Linked DNA regions of Saccharomyces cerevisiae S288C. The gene in region 2 interacts genetically with the main gene of each other region. Each region holds a gene or a part of one and is shown on either strand. Other genes may lie near its edges.

Evidence for each region. A genetic interaction does not mean that the proteins touch.
Region 1: mutations in YLR415C (region 2) and PEX18 together harm fitness more than expected from each alone (negative genetic interaction), as found in Saccharomyces cerevisiae (2 studies listed by BioGRID).

What each region holds. Positions count from the first base shown.
Region 1 is NC_001140.6:416,649-421,807, reverse strand, and holds PEX18 (Pex18p), read left to right. Parts: upstream 1-1,735; coding exon 1,736-2,587; downstream 2,588-5,159. Other genes in the region: YAP1801 (Yap1801p), read left to right, coding at 1-1,435; TDA11 (Tda11p), read right to left, coding at 2,745-4,259; KEL1 (Kel1p), read left to right, coding at 4,629-5,159. UniProt on the Saccharomyces cerevisiae protein: Involved in peroxisome biogenesis and the import of peroxisomal matrix proteins that contain the peroxisomal targeting sequence PTS2. Required for peroxisomal targeting of PEX7 and growth on oleate.
Region 2 is NC_001144.5:948,487-956,471, reverse strand, and holds YLR415C (uncharacterized protein), read left to right. Parts: upstream 1-1,874; coding exon 1,875-2,213; downstream 2,214-7,985. Other genes in the region: ESCRT-II subunit protein VPS36, read right to left, coding at 1-1,462; PUN1 (Pun1p), read left to right, coding at 2,328-3,119; INA1 (Ina1p), read right to left, coding at 3,289-5,316; YLR412C-A (uncharacterized protein), read left to right, coding at 5,999-6,205; BER1 (Ber1p), read right to left, coding at 7,280-7,985.

The sequences.
Region 1 (5,159 bases), on a different chromosome or scaffold from region 2:
CCTAGAGGTACAAATACAAGCCCTGATTAAAAACAAGTATACACAATATGATTTGAGTAACGAATTGATCATATTTGGTTTCAAGCTGCTTATTCAAGACCTGCTAGCGCTATATAATGCTCTCAACGAAGGTATCATAACTCTGCTGGAGTCTTTTTTCGAACTATCTCATCATAATGCAGAGAGAACTCTAGACCTGTACAAGACGTTTGTTGATTTGACCGAGCACGTTGTCAGGTACTTGAAGAGCGGGAAGACTGCGGGCTTGAAAATACCCGTCATCAAGCATATCACTACCAAACTGGTCAGATCGCTAGAAGAACATCTGATAGAGGATGATAAGACGCACAACACTTTTGTGCCCGTTGACAGTTCTCAAGGAAGTGCTGGGGCCGTAGTAGCCAAATCTACTGCACAGGAAAGGTTGGAGCAAATCCGGGAACAAAAAAGGATACTAGAGGCACAATTGAAAAACGAACAAGTAGCGATTTCCCCTGCTCTAACTACTGTCACGGCGGCTCAATCTTACAACCCGTTTGGAACAGACTCTTCTATGCATACTAACATTCCAATGGCTGTGGCTAATCAAACGCAACAGATCGCAAATAACCCATTTGTATCTCAAACTCAGCCACAGGTGATGAATACACCAACCGCTCATACAGAGCCCGCAAATTTAAACGTTCCTGAATATGCAGCGGTCCAACACACAGTGAACTTCAACCCTGTACAAGATGCTGGCGTAAGTGCCCAACAAACGGGGTACTATTCGATTAACAACCATTTAACACCCACATTTACAGGTGCAGGGTTTGGAGGATACTCCGTTTCACAGGATACAACTGCCGCTTCTAATCAACAAGTCTCTCATTCACAAACTGGTTCTAACAACCCGTTCGCATTGCACAACGCCGCGACGATCGCAACAGGGAATCCTGCACACGAAAATGTCTTAAATAACCCATTTTCACGACCAAACTTTGATGAACAAAATACCAATATGCCGCTACAACAACAGATAATAAGTAACCCTTTTCAAAACCAAACGTACAATCAACAACAATTTCAACAACAAAAAATGCCTTTGAGCTCGATCAATAGCGTTATGACAACCCCTACTAGCATGCAGGGATCGATGAATATTCCTCAGCGTTTTGATAAAATGGAATTTCAGGCTCACTACACTCAGAATCATCTCCAACAACAGCAACAACAGCAACAGCAACAACAGCAACAGCAACAACAGCAACCACAACAGGGTTATTATGTGCCTGCAACTGCAGGAGCCAACCCTGTTACAAATATAACTGGGACAGTTCAACCTCAAAATTTCCCTTTCTATCCACAACAGCAACCACAACCGGAACAGTCTCAAACACAGCAACCAGTTTTAGGAAACCAATATGCTAACAACCTCAATTTAATTGATATGTAATATCTAGTATAATCAGGTATGTAAGGGAGTACTCAAGTGCATCTTTGGATAGCTATATATAGTTGTAAGGAAGAGCTATGTAATTTTTGCCATTTTGTACATATTTTGCATTTGTCCTATAGTATGTAATACTTACATCTTACTGTCTTCAATTCCTCCCGCCAACAAAAGATTTCGATAGCGCCGCACCATGGAGTTTATATTGTTATTTCCGAGACGACCTATATAAGGGAAAAGACGAAAACTGGGTATTTGATACTTGTCTAAACTTCAATGGACAAATGATATAAAATACAAACAATGAATAGTAACCGATGCCAAACGAATGAGGTGAATAAATTTATTAGTAGTACAGAAAAGGGGCCTTTTACGGGCAGGGACAATACGCTCTCTTTTAACAAAATCGGGAGCAGACTGAATTCACCACCGATTCTGAAGGATAAAATTGAGCTGAAATTTCTACAACACTCAGAAGATTTGAATCAATCACGGTCCTACGTAAATATTCGTCCTAGAACCTTAGAGGATCAAAGTTACAAATTTGAAGCGCCAAATCTAAATGACAATGAAACTTCTTGGGCCAAGGATTTTAGATATAACTTCCCTAAGAATGTTGAACCGCCCATCGAAAATCAAATCGCGAATCTTAATATAAACAACGGGCTACGGACATCTCAGACAGATTTTCCCTTAGGCTTTTATTCACAGAAAAACTTTAACATTGCTTCCTTCCCTGTGGTTGACCATCAGATATTCAAGACAACAGGTTTAGAACATCCTATCAACAGCCACATTGATTCTTTAATTAATGCTGAATTTTCGGAACTGGAAGCCAGTAGTTTGGAAGAAGATGTCCATACAGAAGAGGAAAATTCAGGTACGAGTCTGGAAGATGAAGAAACTGCCATGAAAGGTTTGGCTTCCGATATAATTGAGTTTTGCGATAATAATAGTGCCAATAAAGATGTAAAAGAAAGACTAAACAGTTCAAAGTTTATGGGGCTGATGGGCAGCATTAGTGATGGTTCTATAGTTTTAAAGAAGGATAACGGTACAGAAAGAAACCTTCAAAAACACGTAGGTTTTTGTTTTCAGAATTCAGGAAACTGGGCTGGTCTTGAGTTCCATGATGTTGAAGACAGAATTGCTTAACGGGCCTTGAAATTTCTTTAATTTAAACCATGAATTTCAGATATATAACACTTTTTAACCACTTTCAAGAGAAAACAGTATTAAATTACATACTGCGTTCACAGCTATACGTAAAAAGAGTGACAAGTGAAGAATAAACGTCATTTTGAAAAAGGAATTAGAAGTCTGTCATTTCAACTGAGTTTTTGACGGAGGAATTATCATTATCGGGTTCTCCAATAAAACTTAGCTTGTTACTACTTCTTTTACTTTTTTTTTCTCGTGTTCGATGTCCACTTTCATCTGTGAGACTATTATTCCCAGCATTGTCTTTCTGGAACTTAGTTGTCGTTTTAAATTTCCTCATGTTTAAACTAGAATCGTCGCCACTATCTTCTGCTTGCCCCCGGTTCGTAATTTTATGTGTACTTTTTTTCTGTTCATGCTGTCTATCGCTTTTATATACAGGATCACATCTGTTATCAGTAATAACATCATTATCGTTTTCTTCTTCTATACCGAGTAATCCGGCCTTGACATCGCTAACAAAGCTCCAAAGCGACCTGGAGACTGATCCTTGCGAAGGAGATTTTTGGCGAGCTCCAGGTGCTTCATTATCGTACTGTTGCGCGGACGACTCGCTATTACTAGTCGGTGTCCCTTCCTGTACCTCAGGCGTACCTGAAAGAGAGTCATCCCAATTCAGAGTTCTTTCAATTTCATGCTGAATGATTTTATCAAACTGATTAAACAGAGCTAATGGTTTGCTCCAAAGTGACTGTTTGGATGAATCTGACGAGTCGTCCCTTTGGCGCCTTTCTTGAATATCTTGCGGAGACACAGATCTTGACTGATTAGTACTTTGATGACCCATGTTCTTTGGTTTACTGACAGAACTAGGAAGGCTGCTGTTACCAGCATTTTCAGTTCGTGATTCCAAAGGTATATTCTGGTAAACCGGTGAAAAAGCCCGGTTTTTAACAGGTGTATTTAGAGAGGGATCCAAATGTTTACTCACTTGCTCCTTGAGTTCATGCAGTTCACGTGCCCGACGAGTATAGTTTTGCTCTTCATGCTGGGTTTGCTTTTTCAAATCTTCAATCTTTTGTTTGCATTCCAGAAGTTCTAACTCTTTTGTAGCGAGAGATTGTAGAAGCGCACTTACATCGACCCCATTTGTTGGTATGGTGGTCGCTATCATACTATTAACCGACTGCGAACTCCCATTTCTAGACCGTCGAAGTCCGCTGGCCATCGCTTGCTCACTAGAAAGTACAGTGGTTGACTCTAATGGGATTCCATAGGATCCCTCAGAATGACTTACTGAAGGTAAGTTGTTTTGAGATTCTGGTGTAGTGGGAACAACCATGGGTTGAATAAGTGATCTTCTCTTGCTCATTGCATTTGGAACTGAGACAGAAGAATGACGAGTTACCACCCTCCTAGCATCTGGCTTGGCTTGTAAGGGATGGTCCTGGTCATTTAATCTGGTAGGCGTCATTAGTCTTTGCGAATGCATGCTTCCCGCACTGGACGTACGATGGTGTTCTAGCCTATATCCATTGGAACTAGCAGAACGAATCTTTCGTCCAGTTTTCCTCACAGGTGACATCGAAATTATACTATTTCGGGTACTGGTGTCCACATCCAAATCCTTCTCATTAGACTCTATAAACTCGTCAAATTTATTCATATCAGTGCCCTAGGAGATAGATTTAATTATCCTCGGATCCATGTAGTGGTAATTGAGAAAAGCACAGTTAGTATTGGCCTTTTTCCTTACCTATTATATTGAACTTTACAACTTGTACCCTTCATCACCTTTGGAATCACGCGGCACGTCTTCTGGGGACTTGGCGACGCGGTTGTTGATAGTAAACTACAAGCAAGCATTCCTTTAAAATACGAAACAATAAGATATAGAAAAGCAACAGGGCTCGTTCTATAAAGTAATTGTTTTGCTTGATTTGTGATACTTACACTTATTAACAAATTCACAGTAATTTTTCAGGAAAAGTTAGAGCCCGTTTGCTTCAATTTGCACCTAGAAAATAACTCAAACATGGCTGGATTCAGCTTCGCCAAGAAATTCACTCACAAGAAACATGGAAAGACGCCTTCTGATGCTTCTATCTCTGACCAATCTAGAGAAGCTTCACTGTCAACTCCTCCAAATGAAAAATTTTTCACAAAACAAGAAACGCCTCAGAAAGGGCGTCAATTTTCACAAGGTTACCATTCTAATGTTAATAAAACTAGTTCACCACCTATGTTTGCCAGAAAACAGGTATCCGAATCAAGGATTCAACCGAGCGCAGTACCACCGCAACAGCGAAATGTCTCAGGACCGTCCACTACTCTCCATAAGCAGCTTTCAAAACAGAGAGAATATACCGTATGGAATAGAATCAAGTTACAGAATTCTCCTTTTCCACGTTATAGACATGTTGCTTCAGCATATGTTACAGACAAGAACCAGATATATGTTATTGGGGGACTTCATGACCAATCTGTGTACGGCGATACATGGATATTAACGGCCTTCGATAATGCCACCAGATTTTCCACTACAACGATAGACATAAGTGAAGCT
Region 2 (7,985 bases):
TTACACATAATATTCTTTTGTTAACTTTCACTAACTTCAATTCATTTAGACCTAAATGCTCGAATCTTTCGCATGCTTCTCTCATTTCCATGGGAGATATCAGGCCTGTACCTATACGCATAGATTTGTTGTACATTGCATATAGATCTACCAGAGTTATGATCATATAGTTGGTATCACTGTTCAAATCTTTAAACTCGGACAACGTGAACTCGTAAATTTCTCTCGCAATCTCATCCAAGAACAGCTCTTTATTTAGGAACTTCTCTCTATCAAGTATCAATAGCGGTCTTCTCGTTTTCGGTTCATTCACGGTTGATTCATCCTGTAAGTTCAATGTCTTGGTTTTCATCGTTATGTTGCTATTTTTGTATAGTCTTTCGATGCTGGTAGCCAGCGACATTAGCTTGTTTAGGTCGGTCAACGCATTGTTAAAGAGAATGTCATTGTTCAAAAGCTGGTTTTCTCTAGATTTTTCCAAGCTTGATATGCCAATTCTGCTCAATTTAGTCTCAATAAATGGCACCTCATTGTTGTATTCGTGAGAACTAGCCCCTTTCCTCATGTCTACACCATTTACAGAAACCACATTCTGATTGAAAATATGCTTATTCTTTTCAGTGAGTATATTCTCCAAAGCCCTCTCTGTAGCTTGTGAAAACAATACGCCATCAGATTTGCGGAAACTCAATTGCACGAATTCTGTCGATGATCCTGTCGAGGACGAGGACGATAATGCCGAGTGCGAGCTCTTGTTTCTAGCCAGTGAATTTTTTTCTAGCTCAATATGGACCCTAGAATCATGAAAGTTTAGCCTGTTCAGCTTTGATCGTACTTTGGATGCATTAGGCAATCTGTGGCCGCAAATCTCGCAATTTCCTATTTGAGGATGATTAGCAAAAGTACAGGCGGGGCAAATGTTCTCAGAGTTCACTCCGAACTGATTCTGTGGGTTGGCGTTCGGGTCGATTGCATTAGAACAATTTATAGACGACTTGGTGAGCTCATAGTCCGCTGGCACACCGCAATTGATACAAATGGGTGTAGGTAGAGTGTCTTTAGTGAATTCCCCCTGCGTTTCGTTCGAAACCATACAGATGGGGCAGACCCACGTCGAAACAACGTCGGCACTTGCTGTTTCCGCACTTTTACCAAGTTCATCCTTACTGGAGGGGTCCTTGAAAAACAGGATCAGACGAGGTGATCTGGTCAAGAAGCCAGATGAATAGTTTACATACGCTAGATCGTCCAATTCCAACCCAAGCGAGTTCTGAGTGGGCTTTGCATCGTCGATGTAGATAATTCTTTGTGACGTTAAAAAGATTCTGCCCCTCTGTCGCTGTAGAATCTTAGATTTGCCATGGTAAAGACCTACGGACTGATCGATAAAGATATCTTTTTCACCTTCTCGAAGAAGAGGTTGGCCCGATGACGTAGTTTCCACATAATGCCAGTACTCCATCTTTTGAAAAAAAAAGAATGACTTTCAAAACACACTTCCTGATTCCTAGCCGAGGTCCCCTATTCTATCTTGGATGACCTTTTCTCTGCTTTTTTGTTTTTCAGTCTCCATCTTTTCCAGATGAAACATGTGAAACCCTTTTTCCTCTTCGTTGATCCTAAAAAAAGCGCGTCTGGAAAACAAGGCGAAGCTTCCTCACATGGAAAAGGCTTCTTAATATGTCGCTACGCCTCATTCCCATTGCATACAGAAAGCAAAGTAGTGCGTTTTGCGAACGTCACAGATCAAAAGTTTGGCCATGCATTGTCATTCTTTTTTTCTTACATACACTGCACCAGACATGTCGGTTCCGCCCCGCTAACGGTTAGTCAGCCACACATTGACGTACACTGTGAACAGCCTATTTCTTTCCATGTATCTCAGTGCCCAGCTTATGAGAACTGTCACAGCCTCCCACTTGACCCTCAGAGCCCTCTCCACTCCCCCCCTCTTTCAACATCGCCAGATAGCCGCCGTTGAATGGTGCGGGACAACCCGGCCTGGCCTGGCCAGGCAAAAAAGGACGCAGCACGCCTCGAGCGTTATTTCCAAATCGGGCGTACTATCAGCCAAGCCCAGCTCGGTATTTTTAGCGCTTCTCGCAGGAAAATTGGCTGAGAAGTATATATACGCGAGAATGTTGCTCTTCCATGTCTCAGTAGTCAATGAGTGTCCAGTGGTGTTTCATTCTGGACCAGTTGTTTGGAAGTAGAACTAAAAGAAACTAGATCAAGATCATACAACGCTGCGCAGTAGTGAAACTTGATTAAAGCAATAGAGAACTATTAAGAAAAAAACAAACACATCATCGAAGGACGCTATAAGCATGAGGAATTTTTTCACGTTATTTTTTGCAGCTATATTTTCGCTAGGAGCACTTATATTAGCCATTGTTGCATGCGCAGGATCAACGAAAAATTACAGTCCCATAAATAAAATTTACTGTGCAGAATTGGATCTGTCGCAGATGAAGGTATCGACGGTGCTCCCTTCTTTGAGTTCTGCTACGCTATCTTCGTTGGGCCTGCCCTCATATATAAATATAGGGCTTTGGTCGTACTGTACAGTGGACTCCTCGCATAACATCCAATCATGTTCTTCGCCTCACGGTATCCAGAATTTTAACCTATCGTCATTAGTGTATGACAATATCAACAACAATGAGGCTCTGGAGCTTATGGATTCCGTGGCCAGTGTTGTTTTGCCCGAAAAACTAAAAAGTAAAATGACATACTACAACAATTTGGTCAAGTGTATGTTCATTACCATTCTTATTGGTATTGTCTTGACCTTTGTGAATCTAGTGTTCAACGTATTGCGCTGGATCATCCACATAAGGCCGCTAACGTGGTTTGGTGCCTTTTTTTCATTTTTCGCCTTTGCCGCCCTATTAGTCAGTATAGGTTCGTGTTTGGGCACTTACTCATACATCAAATACATCCTAAAGCATAACTATAGTGATTACGGTATTTCAATGAGCATTGGTAGGAACTACCAGGGTTTGATGTGGGGGGCTGTCGTTGGAGCATTACTGAATTTCATTCTATGGTGTAGCGTGAGATCGAGGCCCACCGTCATCTATGCGAACGCTCCAATTGAGGAAAAACCATTGATTTGAATTTGAAAAAGGCAAGGTTATTAATTAATTTTTGTGTTCCGTTTCATATTAAATATGATTAAAATATATTGTCTATATACAATTCAGAAAATTATAATGAAGAAAATTAAAAGGATGGAGAATTGAAAAAATTTACGGGGTGATGTTGCATGATCTTCTTTTTATTATTTTACCTTGCAAAGTTTTTTTCAGCATCAATGGGGCTTTCGTGTTCTTCAATGATTCTTGAGGTAGTAGAGTCACTTTCTTGAACAGCTTTCTCAGCTTCCACGATGGCAGCTCCCTTTCTGCTGCTCCACCAGCAGTATGCAATGCAGAGAAATACAAGGACGGCAAATACAAATCCAGACCACATTAGGCCATAAAATGGAGAAGAGCCAGAAATAATGACATCGTAATTGTCCTTCTTGGAGCCGGATTTCATCATATTAAGGATGACGCTAAAGATTGTGCTTCCCAACCCGCTGAAAATACATATCCAACAGGAAATAAAGCCCAATGCCAACCATAATTTTTGACTCACCACGGAACGTCTACTTAGTAGCAACAAGAATACCATTAAGAAGAAGGATGTGATTATGCACATTAAGTTCATAGCTAAAGCTGCTTTCACTGCTGGGACATACATGTGTTGTCTGTCTTGTAATTCACCATCTAAATGCAAATCGTCCTTACCGATGTTCAGGGCATCCATATAAGGTTTAAAGTCCGAGCCTTCAATGTTGTTGTAAACAATCGACCGGAAATCCATGTTTTGAACAGCGTGTGACTTGCTACACGAGTACATTGTTCTGTTTAAGTGAGCACGACACATTGTGAAAATGGACAAACGGTATATGACAGGGATGTGTAGATATTCAAGGATAGAAGGAGTCATTTCCTTGAGTTGTTCTGGTGTGATAGTTGTCATGTTTACAGCAGAGTTTAAAATTTTCAACATGGGCATAAATGTAGCGGCATTAGTTTCTGCCCATTTGGTGATATTAACCAGAGAAGAGAAACTTGACACGGGGTCGCTTGACGCAGCTAATAGGCTGAACAAGTATGGAACGTACTTAAGTAATACGGTGTTATTGGCCAATTGGGATTCCAAAGTAGGGATTATGGAAACAACTGTGGATGCGTTAGCACTTGCAGAAAGGATTTCATCAAGTGCCACCAATTGGTTAGTAGAGGAAGCGGCTTCTTTAGAGAGGGCCAAACTTTCGACAGATGTTAGCAGCTCTGTTTGGTTTGTAGTGTAATTCAACAAGTCAGTCAAAGCACCCATGGCAGCTTTAGCGGAAGATGATTGGGTAATGTTTTCGGCAATCATAGTGCTCAATACGGATAATGTTACATTTTGAGATGTAGTTTCATCAAACAGAGTAACAACAGCTTGGACAGCTGGTTTTAAACTCGAAGGAACGAGGGAGCCTAATTGCATAATAGTTTCAGTAGCATTGCCACCTTCCGCAAGACTGGTTTTTAGACTAGAAAACAATGAGGAGACCGTTGAAGTTGGAATGGTAGAGTTCATTATGGTTTCTAACGCATCGCATGTGGCAGTAATGTTCTTGGAACTTGCGAATAACTCGAATACAGGCGACAATTTTGTCTTTTCTTCTGTGGTCATATTATTTAAAGTGATCAAAGACTCAGTAGTGCCTATAGGATTGGTCGAATCCACTAATAGGGTTAGAACAGTATTTTCTAAGGAAGCCGAAGTAGAAGAAGTGTTGGTTGACATAGATGACATCAATGTGCTAAACCCATCCAAGAGTTCGGTTGTGTTTTTAGAGGTAGTCAATAACTCATCAAGAGCGGAGAAGGTCGTGGTAGTAGCGGTATTGGTTCCTAGCAAAGCCATTGGAGCCAACTGTGTCAAAGATGATAATGTGGCTGAAGTGTTAGCAGCATTAGACAACAAGTGCAGTAAAGGAGACAAGGCTTCGGTAGAAGCGATTGCCTTAAGAGCGCCGAAGATGGTATCCACCGTTGTATTTGGAGCGGTTAGAGCAGAACCTAACACAGTCAAAATTGGGCCAACTTGTGGCATAACTTTTGTAACGTTGATTTTTGATATATCAGCATCACCGATATAAATGTTCGTTATTGGCTTATAATTTGAGGTAGAACCCGCAGTTGCAATAATGGTCAACAGAAATGTTGTAAGTGTCAATAAAGCACAAATCGGGAGGAGTATTTTAAAATTCATCGCAATAATTTGACTGTATTACTGAATTTTTATTTTACTGTATCAGCATCGCATCTACAAGCTATTATGAAGTAAATGAAAATCTCAAGGCTTAATGTGAGTAAATGCAGCTAGATTGTCAAAGGTTTATATATTTTGTCGTTCTTTTTACAGGAAAAAAAAATTCTGTGTAGAAGTGTAAGATCTATGATTGCAGCAGCTTGAAAAGCGATAAGTTTGTTGAGGATTTAACAATTTCAACTTTTTTTTTAAGCAGAACAATAGATTGACGTAGTTAAATTTGTCTACTAAGATCTGTAGGCAAGTTTTTTTTTTCCAGGGACGACGCCGTATAGAAAAAAGCAACTAGGGAATTTACCAGGCCATAATGCGGTGGATTCAAGCTAAACGAGTACTGAGGGGAACTTTAATCTTCAAGGCGGTATCCAGGCGGATTTACGAAGCAACTGACGGAGTGCTGCAGGAATTTAAAGGAGAGTTCTGGAGCGCTTAAATGCACCTAAACAGTATCCACGGAACATACTGTACTAAATACACGTCAAACGGGAACATTTCAAAAAAAACTTAATAATATAACTCAGTTTTTTTACATAGTGATAAAAGTGATATATTCAAGTCTTTTTACTATTTGCTAGGCATCCAAACCGTTTTGTTTAGACGTATCACTATTTTAGCATCACTTATGCATTTGTGCCAGAATGGACACTATTACAAACCCCACCGTGCCTCAGCTGAGAAGGTCCCTTACCTAAAGAAAAAGAAAAAGAATTCTCGAAACGAAGGCAAGGCAAAAAAAAAGAATGAAAAGAAAAAAATAGGAACTGTTGAATTTTTTCAACAAAAAAAAAAAGAAAAAAAACGGGTCCTAAATGCGGTGTGTGGGTTATAAGATGCCGCAAATGAAAGAATGCTATTTAGAGTAATCGATTATCATTCTTATTATAAGCTAAGTTGGTCAAGATGACCTGTTTGACCTAAAGACAAGCACTAACGCAGGCACCGCACTAGTACTTAAGTTTTCTTACGTGAAAAGGAAATATGGGTGATATGTGTCTGTTCCACTCATATCTTTTGGTTTCTAATTTTACGTAATCTCTTGTATTTTCTTGAGAGGGTAAATTTTCACGACGCGTCAGACGCTTATATGAGGGACGAAGTTACATATTTGAATGCATTAATCAAGAACAATATTGTTGAGTAAGCGAATAGCTACCATTGTTCGCAGTTCTAGGATCGCTAAACAGAAAAGGTTACTCTCCACGTGTTTAGAGGGCTACCCACAAACCGTCATAAATCATACCTCCTTCTTTGACGAGCGTATTGCGCCGTTCGAATGATTCATTCCGCCAAGAACTAAATGAACTTCAGGTTTGGGTCTTTCCACTTTCTTAACCCAACCATTCGTTTGCGTCCTTTTTGCCCCAACCTTGATCTTAAAAAATTGCAAGAAGAACTTTATTTATCAATTCGCCCGCGAAGTTAAAAAAAACCGATCTTCGCAGGCACTCGTTAGAACTTAGAAACAGTTCCTCTTAGGGCAAGCGCCCTTGTCGTATTTAGCCTTCTTTAAGTTGAGCTGTAACGTTGTTCGAGTCCGAGAAGTATCCTTGACAGGGACGATAACCATCAGCAGGAAAAACGGTATTTTCATTTATATCCTTTCCTCGAGGAGGGCTTGAATTATGCAATCTCTAAATACTATTCAATTCAGAGAGTAGATTTTTGTGGGCAAAGTAGACGTCGCTCTCTTTCAGTATACGTTCTTGAGCTTTCCATTTCAATGAACCGGCAACTAAGTTGGTATCCTTTCATGATCCTGTCGAGTACATTTATAACAATCATGTTGATTGTTCCAGTATCATAGATAAAGCGGTCTCGTGTCGTTATTGATGGTAAAGCGTCAGGTTACGATGCCCTGAAAGGTTACAGTTTAGTTATAAAGTACTATGTAGTGAATGATATGTTAGTACTCTATAGCATGTAACGTCAAGTCAGAGAAGGAATTGATCCAGGGTTTTTCCTTCAAATACTTTCCTTCATCAAAATCGGTGAGTATTTGGCAGGACTTAAACTTCGGTGCTATTGAATCATAGTCTATATCAGATGGTGTGACCTTGAGTTTAGAGGAGTTGTTTCTGTTTTTTCTTTTTCTCTTTGGAATGAATGTTGCAAAACCATCTACATCATGTGCTTTTTTAACTTCTGGCGGAGCGTTAGTCTGCAAGTAATGAACTAGCTTGCTTAAATTAGGATAGTTTTCACAAAGTTTTGCTTTGGTGTATCTATCGGTGTGTGATATCATATTATTTGCCAGCCATAAGTGTGGTCGCTGTGACGATAGTATGTTCTCAGTTAAATCCAAAGGAGCATGGGGAAGGAAATATAATACCGATTCATAATCAATTGCATCGTTCTCTGAAAATTCTTCCTCTATCAGCCATTTGCTTCCTAAACTTTTCAAGTACTGTATCTCTTCTTTAGTAAATATTGGATCATACAGGGAAACAACGACATCCCTTTCATCCTCACTTTTTATATAATCAGTAATCTCTAGGAGAAGAGCGAATTGGTACGTCGCAGGAAAATCCTCCTTGAAATTTCCAATTGCAACACATCGTATTTTCTTAATGTTATTGAGGTGCGGTTGTAAATTTTCAAGTAAATCTGAG